Rhinolophus ferrumequinum: one gene and its partner. The protein of the gene in region 2 purifies or fractionates together with the protein of the main gene of each other region. This does not show direct contact. Links are inferred from orthologs where the notes say so. Each region holds a gene or a part of one and is shown on either strand. Other genes may lie near its edges.

What was found. Proteins that work in one complex are often made in the same cells at the same time.
Region 1: the proteins of RAD18 (region 2) and SHPRH purify together in Homo sapiens (affinity purification with western blotting; 3 studies listed by BioGRID and IntAct, with this or other methods). This does not show direct contact. The link is inferred for Rhinolophus ferrumequinum from reciprocal best matches to the Homo sapiens genes RAD18 and SHPRH.

What each region holds. Positions count from the first base shown.
Region 1 is NC_046286.1:90,089,542-90,096,518, forward strand, and holds the start of SHPRH (E3 ubiquitin-protein ligase SHPRH), read right to left. Parts: upstream 3,094-6,977; 5' UTR 2,871-3,093; intron 1-2,870. UniProt on the Homo sapiens protein: E3 ubiquitin-protein ligase involved in DNA repair.
Region 2 is NC_046300.1:44,744,838-44,752,879, reverse strand, and holds the start of RAD18 (E3 ubiquitin-protein ligase RAD18), read right to left. Parts: upstream 3,069-8,042; 5' UTR 2,987-3,068; coding exon 2,936-2,986; intron 1-2,935. UniProt on the Homo sapiens protein: E3 ubiquitin-protein ligase involved in postreplication repair of UV-damaged DNA. Postreplication repair functions in gap-filling of a daughter strand on replication of damaged DNA.

The DNA of each region.
Region 1 (6,977 bases), on a different chromosome or scaffold from region 2:
TTGTGCTTAAGAATAAAGTATAATTTCACAGTAACAGAAATTTAGCATATATTCAGTAGGTGGTAATTGCTATTATTGTCATTTGATGATCCTATAAACGATGTTTTACAATAACCAAACTTTATGTGGCAGGATGGGAGGCGATAGATCAGTGTATCTCAAACTTGACTGCACATTAGAATCACCTGTGGGAACTTTTAAAAATCCCGATGCCCAAGTACTACCACTCGTTACTCAAAAAAACAAAACAAAACAAAACCAACCAACCAAAAAAAAAAACAAAACTCATTTTGGTTGACTCTGTTCCTAACGGATCTCTCTCCAGGGATAATTTCTTGAACCAAAAAAAGGATATTATTTCATCAAAGCTACTTATAACCATGTTAATTGGCAGCTACTGGTATATCTCGAATCACATACCAAATCCTTCTCCCAGTTTTCTTCATACCATATAAATCCCACATTTGATGGCTCTACTTCTTCCTCCCTCTTAACTATCAGTGTCTGTGTAAAATGTAATTATATGCAGTGGTCTGTATGGACCACATGTGGACCATCCTGCATTTCAATGTGAAAAGCCTTTTGCTTGGAATGCTCTTTCACACTTTGCTGACTGTTACTGTCCTGCTCGTCGTCCCCAAACCCTCCATAACCAGGCCTGCTTAGTTCAGGGCTTCTCCTCCTTGATCTCAACTGCTACTTAACCGTTTGACTAATGAAACACTTGAAGGCTGGGCAGGAATAGTATCCTATTCAACACTGTACCTCCAATGCCAAGTCAGTGCCAGGATGGAAATGATATACAAAATAAGGTGAAACAAAGACTCTAACTCCGTGAATATCCTCCCTTTGTTTAAAGACCTAAGAGTACTTTACTCACATTTCTTTTTGGACAAGAGTCTCTTAACCACATTCTAGAAGACTGCAGGTAACGTGAAACTATTCTTTATTATTTCTGGCCCAGAATGAGACAGACAAAACTGACTGACCTGTACCTTTAATAGAAAACAAAGACAGATTGCTAGAAAAATAAACACAAAATGGTAAAGTTAATAAGATAACACAACAAATGATTTTCAATTAAACTTAAATTTAGGTTTTTTCCCCCACCAAACCATAATCTCCTTATTAAAAGCACAAACCCTGAATTACAAATCCATGGTAGACTCGGGCTTGGGCTATTAAAAGCAACAGGAGTATACATTTACATGTATACATCCAACGTGAGCCCTATGTAAGCGAAGCCCAATCATTACATAAAACTTTCAATGATCTAGCAGTACCACAATCCTTTTCCATTGTGGTAACTCCAGCAGGAGAGTATTTTCATCTGTTGAACCCTAAAATACGTTAGTCACAAAAACTTGAAACATGCCCTCATAAGCTTCTTCACCAGCAAATTCTATTTCCTCTAAATCTTTCTAACCTAAACTCTTTATAAAAGATTTATTTTAATAATTCTAAAAGTACAGTTCTTTTAGGCTGAGCAAAAAGTACAGCTGAGCAAAAAGGAAAAAAATATATAAATACATACATACATACATACATATATATCAGGGATGCCAAAAATGTATACAAGTGGACACTTTGGTCAACATTGCTCAAACAGTTCGCCGTCAACAGAAGTGTCTGGATGCTGATGGTAACCACTTTGAGCACCTCTTGTAATTGCAGAAGTCACACATGACTTGTATTCATCTTTTGTCATCAGTATATATTAAATATTACAATTTTAATAGTTTTCCTTTCTTAAAATGTGTATACTTTTTATACTTTTAAAATATATATATATTACATAATCTTTCAAAAGTAAACTATTTTATTTTCAACTGCCAACTTACTAACTGGTCCTGCAAAGCTCTAGGAAGTACAGGCTAAGTAATAAAGGCACACTTATCGCACTACTGCTCACATTTGCTGTTTCCAGCAGTTACAGATCATAAACCAACTAGTCTTTTTGGTGACAATACAGAGCTCCTGGATCATTTCTATTCATGGGAAGTTCACCATTCTTGCTATCACCCAACAGAAATGACTTAAAATTATTTTATTTTGTTCAGTCATAGCCTCAAGTTAATTTAAAAACAAGTTGGAAAACACAAAACATCTAGTATTTCTACCCCGTGCCTAATGTCAAATCACTTAGAAAAAAGACACAAGCTTAAGGGCTACAAGCTTAATAGTCATGATTTAATGATATTGTGTATCTGACGGTGACCGTCAATCATCAGATAACACACGTTCGTTCATAAACCTAGCCACCACCATGGAGTCAAAACGTGCAAGGGTGGTTTTGAATGCAAACGTAATTCATCTGACTCCAAAGGTAACTGAGAACTTTCAGACTAACTTAGAAGCCTCGGCCTCCCCTTTTACTGCATTACAACCTCGCGCACCAAACTAGGAAGCTGCCCATTTCCAGCTTGCAGGGGCGTTATCTGCTGCGAATGGTGATACCCACTCAATTTTCTTCTGAAACGACCCAAAAGCGGTTCCAGAAGTCAGAGCAGAGCTGTCAGCGACGGATCGCTCCCAACAGGCCGGGCAAACAAGCTACCGCGAGGCCGAGGAGCACGACAATAGCCTCTCCGACGCTCCAACAAAACATCGCCGGCCCAGCCCCCGGGGAGAAGCACGTCCTCCTTTCCCACGACCCCACCTTCTCCCGGAGGAGCCGTGGCAGTCCGAGGGCCCGCCCGTCTGGGATGGGGAAGGGTCGGGGAGACTTGTGCTGCGGCTCACTCGCAGCCCTTTAGATTCCCGGGCCCCAGAACAACCAAGTCCTCCTTCCCTGAGACCTCAGTCTCGGTCCGGAGTTGTCTCCCATACCCGACCTCTGACCCCTGACCCTCCATCACCCGAGCGCCTACCTAGACTAGTTCTCCAAGCCTCTTGAGCGTCTCCGCACCAAGGCCCTCTAATGCTCCCGCAGGTCCCGGGCACGCAGTCGCCACCCACCGAATATCCACCTGAGGTGGGCTCGCGCGCTTTACGCTGGTTTGTGTTGGGGTTCCCGGGGGACCCAGAAACCTCAGCTCCTAGCTGCAGGGCGCGCTCTGGAGCGTGGGGTCAAGGTGAACGCGCACGTCGAGTTGCCCCGCCCCCTTTCTCCGGCGGTGGCTTCAAGAGCCTCTTCTACGCAAGTCCACACGGTTAAAGGCCACGAGTGGATGCAGTTGGAATCTCGCGATAGCTCTGTCCACGGCTTTAGAGACTACAGGATTGGCTGGAACCTCTAAAGAGGAGGCGGGCTCTAAGCAGATATTAAATACAGGCGGCTTCCCCGCTGAAGGGGCGGGGTTCCCGTGCAGGAGTGATGGGTTTCGTTTGTGGCCTTAATAAAAAGGCAGAAGAAAATTCTGCGAACGCACGGCTTTTCTTGCTTCTAGAAAGCAGCCATTCATTAGTACGGGTGAAGCTTGTCTTCCTCAAAAAAATTATTTTAAAAAGACTTTCCAGGGAAATAGTAAATTTTTTAAGTTGAGAACAAAACTACATGTATTATACTGAAGGTGGCCTTCAAATACGTTGTCTTTTTTGTCTTCACTGAGAGGTATCCTTTTTCTCATGGAGGTAGTAGGTTGATGCTTAGTTAACTTTGGGATAACTCGGACAGGCTTCAGGGCCAAGAGCCTGTAAAATAATCCCCAGGAAACAGCGGTCACTCAGTGATTAACGACTACCTCCTGAGGACTCAGCCTTATGCTGTGGAGGGGCGTCTTGGCTTGTGTAATCACACAGAAGCACAGAAGTAGGTTTTTGCCTAAGAGAACATCCGTTGTAGTTGGCGGAGACATTCTAGAGACAGCCCATACCCTACTTTGCACAGAACTTCATCATAGACCTCTAAGATAGTAGTCTGAAAGAAGCCATTTACACAAACTAAACCCTATAAAATTCGATGGAAATTAGTTACCTTATCCACGGCTTCACGAGGGAAGTTGAAAAAGTAACGTTCATTGCTGGAGCCGTGGGCAAACAGAGTTCCTCTGCCATGGAGAACTGATAATTTTACTAAGTACAAGACATAATGGAGCCTTTATTTTGGAAGTGTAATTGAAACTCAGTATTTAAACGTATATTGTGCTGTAAAAGGTTATCTTTGATAGTTTGTCACTTCTCACCATTGGAATAGAGATTTAAGCTCACAGTTGCACTGAGTCCAGCTGGTGCCAGGCAGAAATATTTAAAAAATTAAGTACAGCATCATTTCATCTTTGTTCACCTTGATTGGGGTAATTAATCTTTAGATATAATTATTGTTATTCCGTGCAAAATGTTAAACTACAGATCCAGTTGTGTTTGGAGATGTAATTTCAACTACAGAGATGGAATTCTGTACACTATCATTCAGCTGTTACAATTAAACAAAATTCGTCCTCTTGAATTTCCCAGTGGAATGTTCAATCCTGTATTTGCAAAGTGCCCAATATAGTCTTTGAAAAACTTCCCTATGGAGTAACGTTTTTCAATCTTAAAATCACCAGAGCTAATTTTAGGAAACATTGTTCATTTTTGCACCTTAGCTCCCTGGAAGCACCCATCTGTGAAATACCTGTTCACCCTGACAACTCTGAGTTCATCCACCTATTGGATGCTAATGATCTAATAGTATTCCACAAGTAGGAGTTAATTGATTGCATATAAACCAATCAGTGAATGACTCAGTGTCGATAGAGTTCAGCTGATTCTTCTTAGAATTGCAAATGTAATGGCAGTCAGACCACTTGCTTCCTTGTGTGGTTCCTTGTTTCAAAGTCTATAGTTTGTTCTGTCTCCCCTGCTGCAAGCTTAGCCTGCAAACTGAAAACTCAATCTGTGTCCCTTCTGCATCTCATAATTTGCAAAGCAAAATTTGTAATCTCTACCCAGAATGTTGCATCGAACATGAATTTATGACATAAGGAGAAGGGAGTTCACCATTTCTTTCTAAGTGTTTGTTTTGGATGTTAATAAAGCAATCCTTGTAAATTAGGTACAAACAAGGATAAAATTGAAGCTGAGTCTGTTGGGTAAAGAAAGATGTGAGATTATATGCAGTGTTTCTCAATGAAGGTAACATAATCTGTATCATGGATCTCCTCCCCACCCTCCCCTGCCTCCATTCCCAAATATTACTTTTTCTACTGACATTGTTTTCCAACTAATTTTGTCAGTATGGCTTCTGTATTAAGGAATAGGAATTTGTAGATGAGTCACCTGATGCTTATGACTTAAGTAATATTTATTCTGCAGTTTTGAGAAAAATACAAGTAAAATGTTTTTTTGAATATTTTAAGGATCTCTATCATGTGTCATTTTAAAGTACAAAAACAGTGATGTAACACTTTGAGAATGAGTCTAAAATCTCAAGGAAGCTTAGTCATACAACAATAGAATACAATGATGATTGCCAGAGAATAAAGAACCTTCCCAAAGCTTCCATCCACTAGAAAGGCAGCTCCATGTTCAGGTATCAGCCTTGGTGTATTGTTTAGGTCAAGTCTTAGGACAATGGCGAAATTAGATCTCAGTTCCACTTTCTTTAAACCCTGTTAAGTTTCTACTTTTTTTTTTTTTTTTAAGGAGGGCACACAGTTCACAGTGGCCCATGCGGAGATCAAACCGCCAACCTTGGTGTTATTAGCACCACGCTCTAACCAACTGAGCTAACTGGCCACCCCTAAAACCTGTTAAGTTTCTGAATTCCTCTTTAGGCCCTTAAATAAACTTAAATGCTTACATACCTTACATATTATGCAGTAGTACCAGATAATGATCAATTGTGTACATAGGCCATAACAGCCCCATCTCGACTATTAGCTCCTGAGATTTATCTTGTTAAAAACAAACCAAACTATCCAACCATCCCAGGTAACTCTAATGAAACAAATTTAAAGATAGATATTTGGGAACCACTCGAGCAGATGATCTCCAGTTTATGACCTAATTGATTAAAAAGCAAGCTCATATAAAGCAAGCTCATATAAATCAAACCCTTATTTTCTATAGCAACAATGTTATAAGCTGGGGCTCCAATCCTGGAAACCCATTTCATACCTTCTAAATAACAAAACTACTCTTAGAGAAATTAACTTAAAATGGATTACAGACCTAATATAAAATGTAAAACTATTAAACTCCTAGAGGACAACATAGGAGAAAATCTATATGACCTTGTATATGGTGATAATGTTTTAGATACAACATCAAAGCCATGATCCATGAAAGAAATAATTGATAAGCTCGACATCATTGAAATTGAAATCTTCTGCTCTGAAAACTATAATATCAAAAGAGGAGACAAACCACAGACTGGGAGAAAATATTTGCAAAAGACAAATCAGATAAAGGACTGTAACTACAATAATTAGTTAAGGGATACACGATAAAACAATGTAAGATGTGACATCAAAAACATAAAATGTGTCGGGGAGAGAAAAATGTAGAGCTTTAGAATGCAATCAAACTTAAGTTTTTGTCAATACTTGCAATAGATTGTTATAGATATAAATTGTTATTTGTAAGCCTGCTGCTAACCACAAAGCAGAAACCTACAGTAGATACATAAAGATAAAGAGAAAGGCATCTAAGCATGAAGCTAAAGAAAGTCATCCAATCACAAAGGAAGAGAACAAAAGAAGAAATAGAGAGGAACTACAAAATGCCAGAAAACAATTAACAAAATAACAATAAGTACATATATATCAATAATAACTTTAAATGTAACTGCACTAAATTCTCCTATTAAAAGATGTAGAGTGGCTGAATGGATTAAAAAAACAACACCCATTTGTATGCTGCCTAACAGAGACTCACTTCAGATGTAAAGAAACACACAGCCTGAAAGTGAAGGGATGGAAAAAGATATTCTATGCTAACGGAAACCAAAAGACAGCTGAGGTAGCTATACTTATATCAGACAATATAGACTTTAAAACAAAGATTGTAATAAGAGACAAAGAAGAACATTACATAAAGATAAAGGGATCAATCCA
Region 2 (8,042 bases):
AAACAAACAAACAAAAGACTAATGTCACTAATAGTCCATACGATGAAATATTATGTAGCCATTAAAAAAGAACATGCTTTCAAAGAATAATTAACGCCATGAGAAAATGTTCATATTTTAATGAAAACTTTAAAAAGAGAGAACAAATCTACAACCACAGATAATAACAGAACGATGTAGTTTAATCTCTGGAACAATCTTATGACGTCTATAGCATCTGTATCCCAGTTTTATAGACGAAGACTATAGAGCTAAAAGGGATTGGGTCAAATCCAAGATGTTGACTCCAAAGTAATCTCAAATTTTAAATGCATATATCCATTGTTGGGTATGTGTGCACATGAGTCCACAGAAGAAAAACTGAAGGAAAATTAGAGAAAATATTAAACAGTGGTCATCTCTGGGTGGTAGGATGATGGGTAACTTTCACTTACTCCTTTACCTTACCCTGAATTTTAATTTTTTTCTACTATATACACAGACATTTATAACCTGTTAAACCTAGAAATTTCTGTTATGGTTAAACCAGGGAAATAAACATTAAAATGCCAAAATCTTCCATTATTTTGGAATATAAGTTACCACTGACACAAAAAGCTAAAGCGCTGTGTTGAAAATCAATTAAAAGCAAAGGCAGGACTGGAAGCCAGAGCCCTGGCATCGAGTCTATTGTACTTTCTTCTATATAACCATCCTCTTCTGGGGGAGGAGTGGTTCTGACAGATCTGCTGAGCAAGACGCGCGAAAGGTGGCGCGGAAGGTGTCACCGCATCAGATGAGCTATAACACTCTCGCACAAATTTCCCATCATGCCATTCCAAGACAGTAGCATACACGTCACATGCATCTAACCCCAAATAGAGAGTGGTCAAGTGGATGCCGCAAGATTTCTTTAACTTAGAGAAAGTGGAACGGGGAAGTAGGGAATGGGTAAAAAGCCAATAATTAGAGCAAAGGTTCTTAAGCTTTTGGGTCACAGATCCCTTTGAAAAATGGATGAAAACTATGGACTCTCTCCTTAGAAAAGCATACATATAAACAAAAATTTTATAAATAATCTAGATACCAAAGTCTTTTCATGGATCCTGTTAGGAACCATGGATTTGGAGTCAGATTTCTATTCAATATAAGAAAGAACTTCCAACAGAGCTACTTCTGGGAGCAGCTAATTCTTTGTCCTTGGCACACTTCAAGCAAAAGCTAGATGACAAACTGGCAAATACAATGTAAAAGGGATTAAAAGACTGGAGGGGGGCTGGTTTCCCAACCTTAGTATTTCATGATTCTAATACGGGCTCAATCAACTCCATCACTGAATACTCTCTGGTGCTGAACCCTCAATTCGGTGCTGTGATGAGGTATCAAAGCCAAAGACAAGGAACCTGCCTCCAGAGAACGCAGTGGAAGTTGTGGGAATATATAAAATCTGCTTAAGTCTACAGACAGGTAGCTTTACAAGTTACACAGCTCTCACTTCCTTTATCCCATTCAATCCTCACAACAAATAAAAAGGGGGTTTAAACAGTTAACACACGCTAAGTGTTAATAAGATATGTTAATTGAATGCTTACTACCTTCCAGATACCTTTAATCAATTAGGAAATAATTTTTGAGCACCCACTATGTGCCACACACTGTGTTACGCAGTGAGTAAGACAGACAGGATCCCTAGCCACACACATCAATTCATTTAACCAACCCTATAAACTGTTTATTTTTGTCTCCAGTTTATAGTTGAGGAAATTCATGCTCAGAGATTAAGTAACTGACTCAAGATCACAGCTAAGGAAGAGGCAGAGACCAGATTTAACCCAGGATCATCAGAACTCAAATCTATGCTCACCTCGGTGCCAGGGCCACCACAACCTCAAAACCACATCTTTCTTAGATCCTCCCAATGTCAGCTTTTCACCGTGGGGCTGTATCTCAAGGGCCCCAAAACAGTAGATAACACTGATGATGACGGAAGAATAAAGTCTCAAACTTAGTTAACCTCCCCCAAGTCTCTTCACTTAATCCTCAGAGACAGCCTTATAAATCAGTGGGACACATGCCATAATCCCCAAGTGTACGAAACTTTAGAACAGGATGAGAACTTGAAATGAAAGTGATCACAGAGCAAGGAGAAACACCAAGCAATTGACTCTTAACTAGCACAGCAAAGTGTATTTGTTCTTGACCAAATACAGCAGGAATCCTGGGCTCACCACTACTGTAAATGGAAACTAAAATGCCTTGCCGCCACAAAATGCCAAGCAGCCACAAAAATCAATGTTATATAAGAGAAATAATTCAATGAAATGAAAGGCTGGTGCTGCGCCTGAGTCCTGGTCCCTTTGTTTAAAAGAGAGACGTGCACAACTGTTAGGAGTTAGGACTCATTGGGAAGGAGTTAGGGCAAACCAGCACTAGGCTTCTTGAGGGTAATTAGAGGGTGTAATTAGAGGGTGTAATTAGAGGGTAACAATAGGATGTGAAGATTACCTGCTTCACTAGGTGATTAAATAAATGTTTTTTGATGCAAGGTTCACCCAAAATCAGGTCGGGGGTCACTTTCAGAAATTCTCAACTAATGTACTGAAAGAGTTGGCATAATGCTTGGCATGTAGTAGTAAGTCCTCAGAAAGGGCTGTCACTGTCGTTTTCACTGTTTAAAGTAACTGCTTTTCTCGAGGTCATTGTTGTTGTGACTTAACTGCAGGATACCCGGTTCCATAAGACAGCCAACTTCAGCTCACCCTAAGGGACCGAGGCCTGTCCCCGTCCCTTCTCGGGGAGGAAACTAAGGCCCTGAGCCATGCGGCTGGTAAGTGGCAGAGCAGAACCGGGTTACCCAGGCCCAGCTCGCCTCTCCCGCCTCTTCCTTTCTCATCCTCAAGGCGGGACTGGCCTCCCGATGACACCCGGGCGCCCCCAACCTCCCCGAAGCACTCACCTTCATGACTGCCAGACCTGGAGGCCACCGAGGCTCGACTAGTGAGTCCATGGTCTCCCCTAAGGAGGATGGGGGGTCCACCACCCACTAGCCTCCCGCACTCCAGTCCCACTCGAAATTCCCCGCGCTACCACGCTACGACAGCAGCCCGCGACGCGCCCGAAACCTGCGCGGAGTCTGCCGGGAGTTGTAGTACGAGGGAGGAGCGCAGCCAACGATGCTCTAGTACTGCGCACGCGCCGGACTTCTGCTTTGCCTTCCACGGCAGGAAGTAAATGGTTAAAAAGTCCACATCAGGTTTTGTACCAGACCCCTAATAAATGGATGTTGAATGTTGGGGAAAGACAGCCAGGACACAAACCAAATCCAGATCTTGCCAGATCTTTCAAGGTCTAGGCTAATGCCTCCTTCTTTGTGTTGCCCTCCCTGATTGCTGTAATTATCTGTCTCTGAACCCCTGACTTTGAAAAGGGTTTTTGTATCTAGTATTATTTCATCTAACCCCATCACAGTACCGGGAGGTAGGAAGTACCATTGTCAGTTTACACAAAAGGAAGCTTTGGCTCAAAAAAGTGAGTTGTTTCCTTGAGTCGCACAGTTCATTGACCAGATTATAGAGCCTCTGGACTTTTTAAACGGGAGCGCTTTCATTTATCAAATTAAAATTATAAAGTTAGTCTTTTCTTTATTGCCTTAACTTTGTGTAGCCTTCCAAATATTTTCTATGCAGATACATAGAAATGGATTTTTTCCCCTGCAAGTGTTATATTCAATGTATAGCTCTGTCAACTTGAATTTTTCTGTTTTTTTTTTACTTAACCATACATCTTGAGACCTTTCCATGTTACTACATATAGCTTTACCTCATTCGTTTTAACAGCCATGTAGCCCATAATGTAAAGGTACCACAATTTATTTATCTACTCTCGTATGAAGGAAACCTTTAGGTTGTTTCCAATTTTTTACTCTTGCAAAGAGCGGCAATAAACATACTATTTATATAAATCTTGGCACACTTGAGCCAGGATATCTGGTGATTTCTTGTAAATAGAACTACTAGGTCGATTTGCTCATTTAAAACTGTTATTGCTAGCATTATGTGAGTTTCTAAACAGGCTGTATCAATACAGGTACACGTTCACCAAGCAGGTATAAGAGTACCTGTGCTGACCAGCATGCCACCCAGCCTATCTACTCAGCTCAGCACTCATCCACTGCCTTAGGTGGGACTCCATTGCAGCAGGCCTCATGGGCAGCAAGTCTTCACAGTTATATTGCTTGGTGCAGACCCCTGCAGCTTGCCACTGCTGCCCCACATGGTCCATGCATTCATTCATTCAACAAATAGTTTTCTAAGTGACCACTGGTCAAGCACTCGAGCTAACCTGTAAAGTAGGCAGAGGTAAGGTTATTATTGCCATTTTACAGACGAAGACACTGAGGCTCAGAGAAGTTAAGGCTTCACTCTTTTGGGCCCTCTTCCTAAGGAACCTCTGGCCCCTGAGCCAGAGATGTACTCAACTGACTTTTTCCTAATACTCATTGGGCAATAATCATAACATAGTATTTAGACAAAGAACTTTAATATCCATTACAATAATAGCTGACATTTATTAGGCACTTGTATGCAAAGTACTGTTTTAGGTGATTTTTACACATATTGACTTATTTTAGACTCACTCCAACCATATGAGAAAAGGGAAATAAACAGGAAACTTGGTCAGGGCACGCTGCTGGTAAGTGAAAGAAAAAGGATTTGAACTTGGGCATCTGGCTTAAGAGTCCATATTACCCACTACAGATATTCTCATAAGGACTTAATCATGAGAATTATTCCCATTTTATAGATGTGGAAACTGAGTCTCAGAGAGGCAAAGGAATTCATTCAAGACCACACTGCTTGTCAGTGCTGAAGTCCACTAGAAGGGACCACCCATTGACACTTTATCAAGGAATAACTAAGCAGACAAAGCTGCAGTGCAGAGATCTGAGGATCTCAGGATAGTGGACCTATTGGGGCTTCAACAAGCAGGTAAGGAGTGGCAGGAAAGGGTGGAGGCTGCCGGAGGTTTGTATCAGCCAATCAGAGAAGGGCGTGCAAATAATTCCAGGCTGAGTTGGATGGCAAAGGAATTGAGAAGAAGACCAGGTCCCCTACCTGAGTGCACCAGCAATGGTTCCTTTATGGGACTAGTTGGTTACAAGGTAATTAGGTTTAAGTTGACTAAGGACTGAAAGGTGAGACAAGAGAAATGAAAAAAGAAAAAAAGAGTAGGGAATGAAGTAGAGACATGACAGAAAGAAACACGCTCTTCCCATTCTGAAGACAGATTCAGAAGCAGGCATCACTTATTGGTCCTGCAGTCCACAGCCATCCCCCCGAGTCTGGAGAGCTTCCATGGCAGCACTCAGGGCTATTCGTCTCTGAGTTCCTGCCACCAGCTGCTCAGAGACTGAATGAATGAGTGAATCACCAGAAAAGGCCCACATTCCCATAAATCTTTTCCTCCCAGACTGAGCAATTCTCTTCCTGCTCTTTTCAGCAGCACTCACTCAAGCCCACCTCTGGGCCCAGGAAGCAAAGTCACAAAACACAAGCAGGTCTGAAGGGCCACCTCGAGTCAGGACAAGCATCTGTCCTGCCTTCCCCGGGGGTATTTCTCCACCCCCTCTAACAAGCTGCTGTTTCCACGGATATTCTCCTGTTAGATCCAATAAAGAGAATGTACTTCCTTATCCAGAAGCAAAACAAAATGTTCCATATTAAAAAAAAGCAGGCTAGTACTCAGTGGAATCTCTCGTGGCACTTAGGACAAAGTGAGGATCTGGGATAGGGCTGCCAGACAACAAACAAAATGCCCAGGAAATTTGAGTTTCAGATAAATAGCCAGTAATTTTTTAATATACTCGTAAGTTATCCCAAATATTGCACACGACATACTTATATTAAAAACTATTCATTGTTTATCTGAAATTCAAATTTAACTGAGCATCCTTTGGTTTTATTTGCGAAGTCTGACAACCCTAATCAGGGAAACATTCTCCCACCTGAGTGGGGGGCCTGGCCTGGCTGCATCTTTGAGGAGTCCCAAGGCCCTGAGTTCCTTTCCAGGGTCTCTCTTCCTCTCTGTCCTCCATTCTTTCTTCCTTGAGGACCCATCCTCATTCTAGTCATGGGAGGGAGGCTCAAGCCTTATCCCTTTTTTCCTCCCTTCCTCTTCTCCTCCGTCCATTTTAACAAATGTTCACTGAGGTGCTATCCACCTATGCCAGGTGTTTGGAATACAAAGGTGAACAAGAGAGTCTTGGTTCGCAAGGAGCTGACATCCTGAGGGGACAATGAGGACTGGACAGAAACAAGTCATTTTGTAAGAAAATGAAGAAATAATTTAGTACAGTGGTAAGTGATGTGAAAACAAAAGGGGATGATATAATAGAGAGTGGGAAGACATTATAAATTGGATGATCTGAGAAGCCCTCCCTGAGAAGGTGACATTTGTGCTAGGACCCAACTGATAAGATAGAGGCAGCCATGCAAAGACCTAGGGGTAGAGAGTTCCAGGCCTTGATAAAGAGTTTGGATTTTAATCCATGTTAACTCTGACAAGTTATTGAATCTCTCAGTACCTCAATTTTCTCTTCTGTAAAATGGGGGTGATAATACTTGAGAATTAAGTGAGTTATTAAGGAAGTGCCTAGAACCATGTCTGGCACCTAACAAGCACAGTGCAAGTGTCAGCTGTCATTGTTATTATGTTGCTATAAGCACGGGGGGAAGCTCTTGGAGGGTTTTAGGCAGGGAGGTGACATGATCTGATTTACATTTTGAAAGTGTCACTCCAGCTGCTGGGTGAAGAAAGGGTTTCAGTGGAGAAAGAGCAGAAGTACCAATCATGGGACAGTGACAACTGGTTACAGTCGGGAGGAAGTGAAGTGCTGGGGCCCCATGCTTGCTATGGACTCCACAGTAAGACCTTACTTTATCCCTATACCAGGTCCCATCCTGAGTCCTCCTAGGCTTGGACCCTGCCTTGTTCTCACCAGTCCCTCCTCCTTGGAGCCCCAGCCTCCGGGCCAGCGAGGCCTAGTTTAAATTCACAGACTGTGTCCATTACCTGCTCTACCTGCCTGTTAGACCACCACCTCTGGGGGCTTCTCCTTGAGCCTGGTTACGTGCCTGTCACCACAGGCTCTTCTTCGGAGGGGTCCTCACCCCTCCTACTGATGCTTTTAACAAGTGTTTACTGAGAATTTACTATATGCCCAGGCAGGGTGACAAACAGTAAACAGGACAAAGAATATCCATCCAAATAAAGGTCCACAGATGGGAAGAGCTTTGAGATGAAAGAGGAAAAACTTTTAAGGGAGGAAGCTGTCTGTTTCAGGATTCTTTTGGTTACAAGTGTTGAGTTAGAGAGCCAAGTCAAAATGGCCTAATCAAAAAACGGAAATGTATTAGCTCATGTAACTGAAAAGTCCAGAAGTTTATATTGTGGCTTGGTCCGGGTGTCATTAGATTAGTCTCTTTTCCTTCCTCTCAATCCGTCTTTCTTAATGCCCTATATCTGCTTTCCTCAGTGCTGGCTTCATGCTCAAGCAGACTTTCTGCCACGTGATGACACACATGGCCTCCAGAAGAGCAAGGTCTACATTCTACTAGTACATCTGCTTCAGCAGACAAAAAGTACCTCCTTTCCAACAGTCCCCAGCAAAAGGACCAGGGCTGAATCTCATTGGCCAGATTTGGGTCACATGCACATCCTTGAACCAATCACTGTGCCTCAGATTGTCTAGGTCTGAGTTTGGGGATGGGGTGGATGCCCAATGAACATTGGAGTTATGTATATAGTAAAAGAGGGAATGGATGCCTATATGTATTACAGTTGCAAATTCTTCCCCTTCCTATATCCACATCTCTTATGATCTGACTCCTTTCATCAAGAGGTGGATCTATTTCTGCACTCCTTGAATCTGGGCTTAGTCATGTGACTTGCTTTGGCCGATGCAACATTAATAAAGGTGATACAAACAGAGCCTTGAAGTGTGCCGGTACACTGGAGCTTGCCCTCTCTCTTGGTGCTCTTGGGAACCTTCTAACCACCACCAT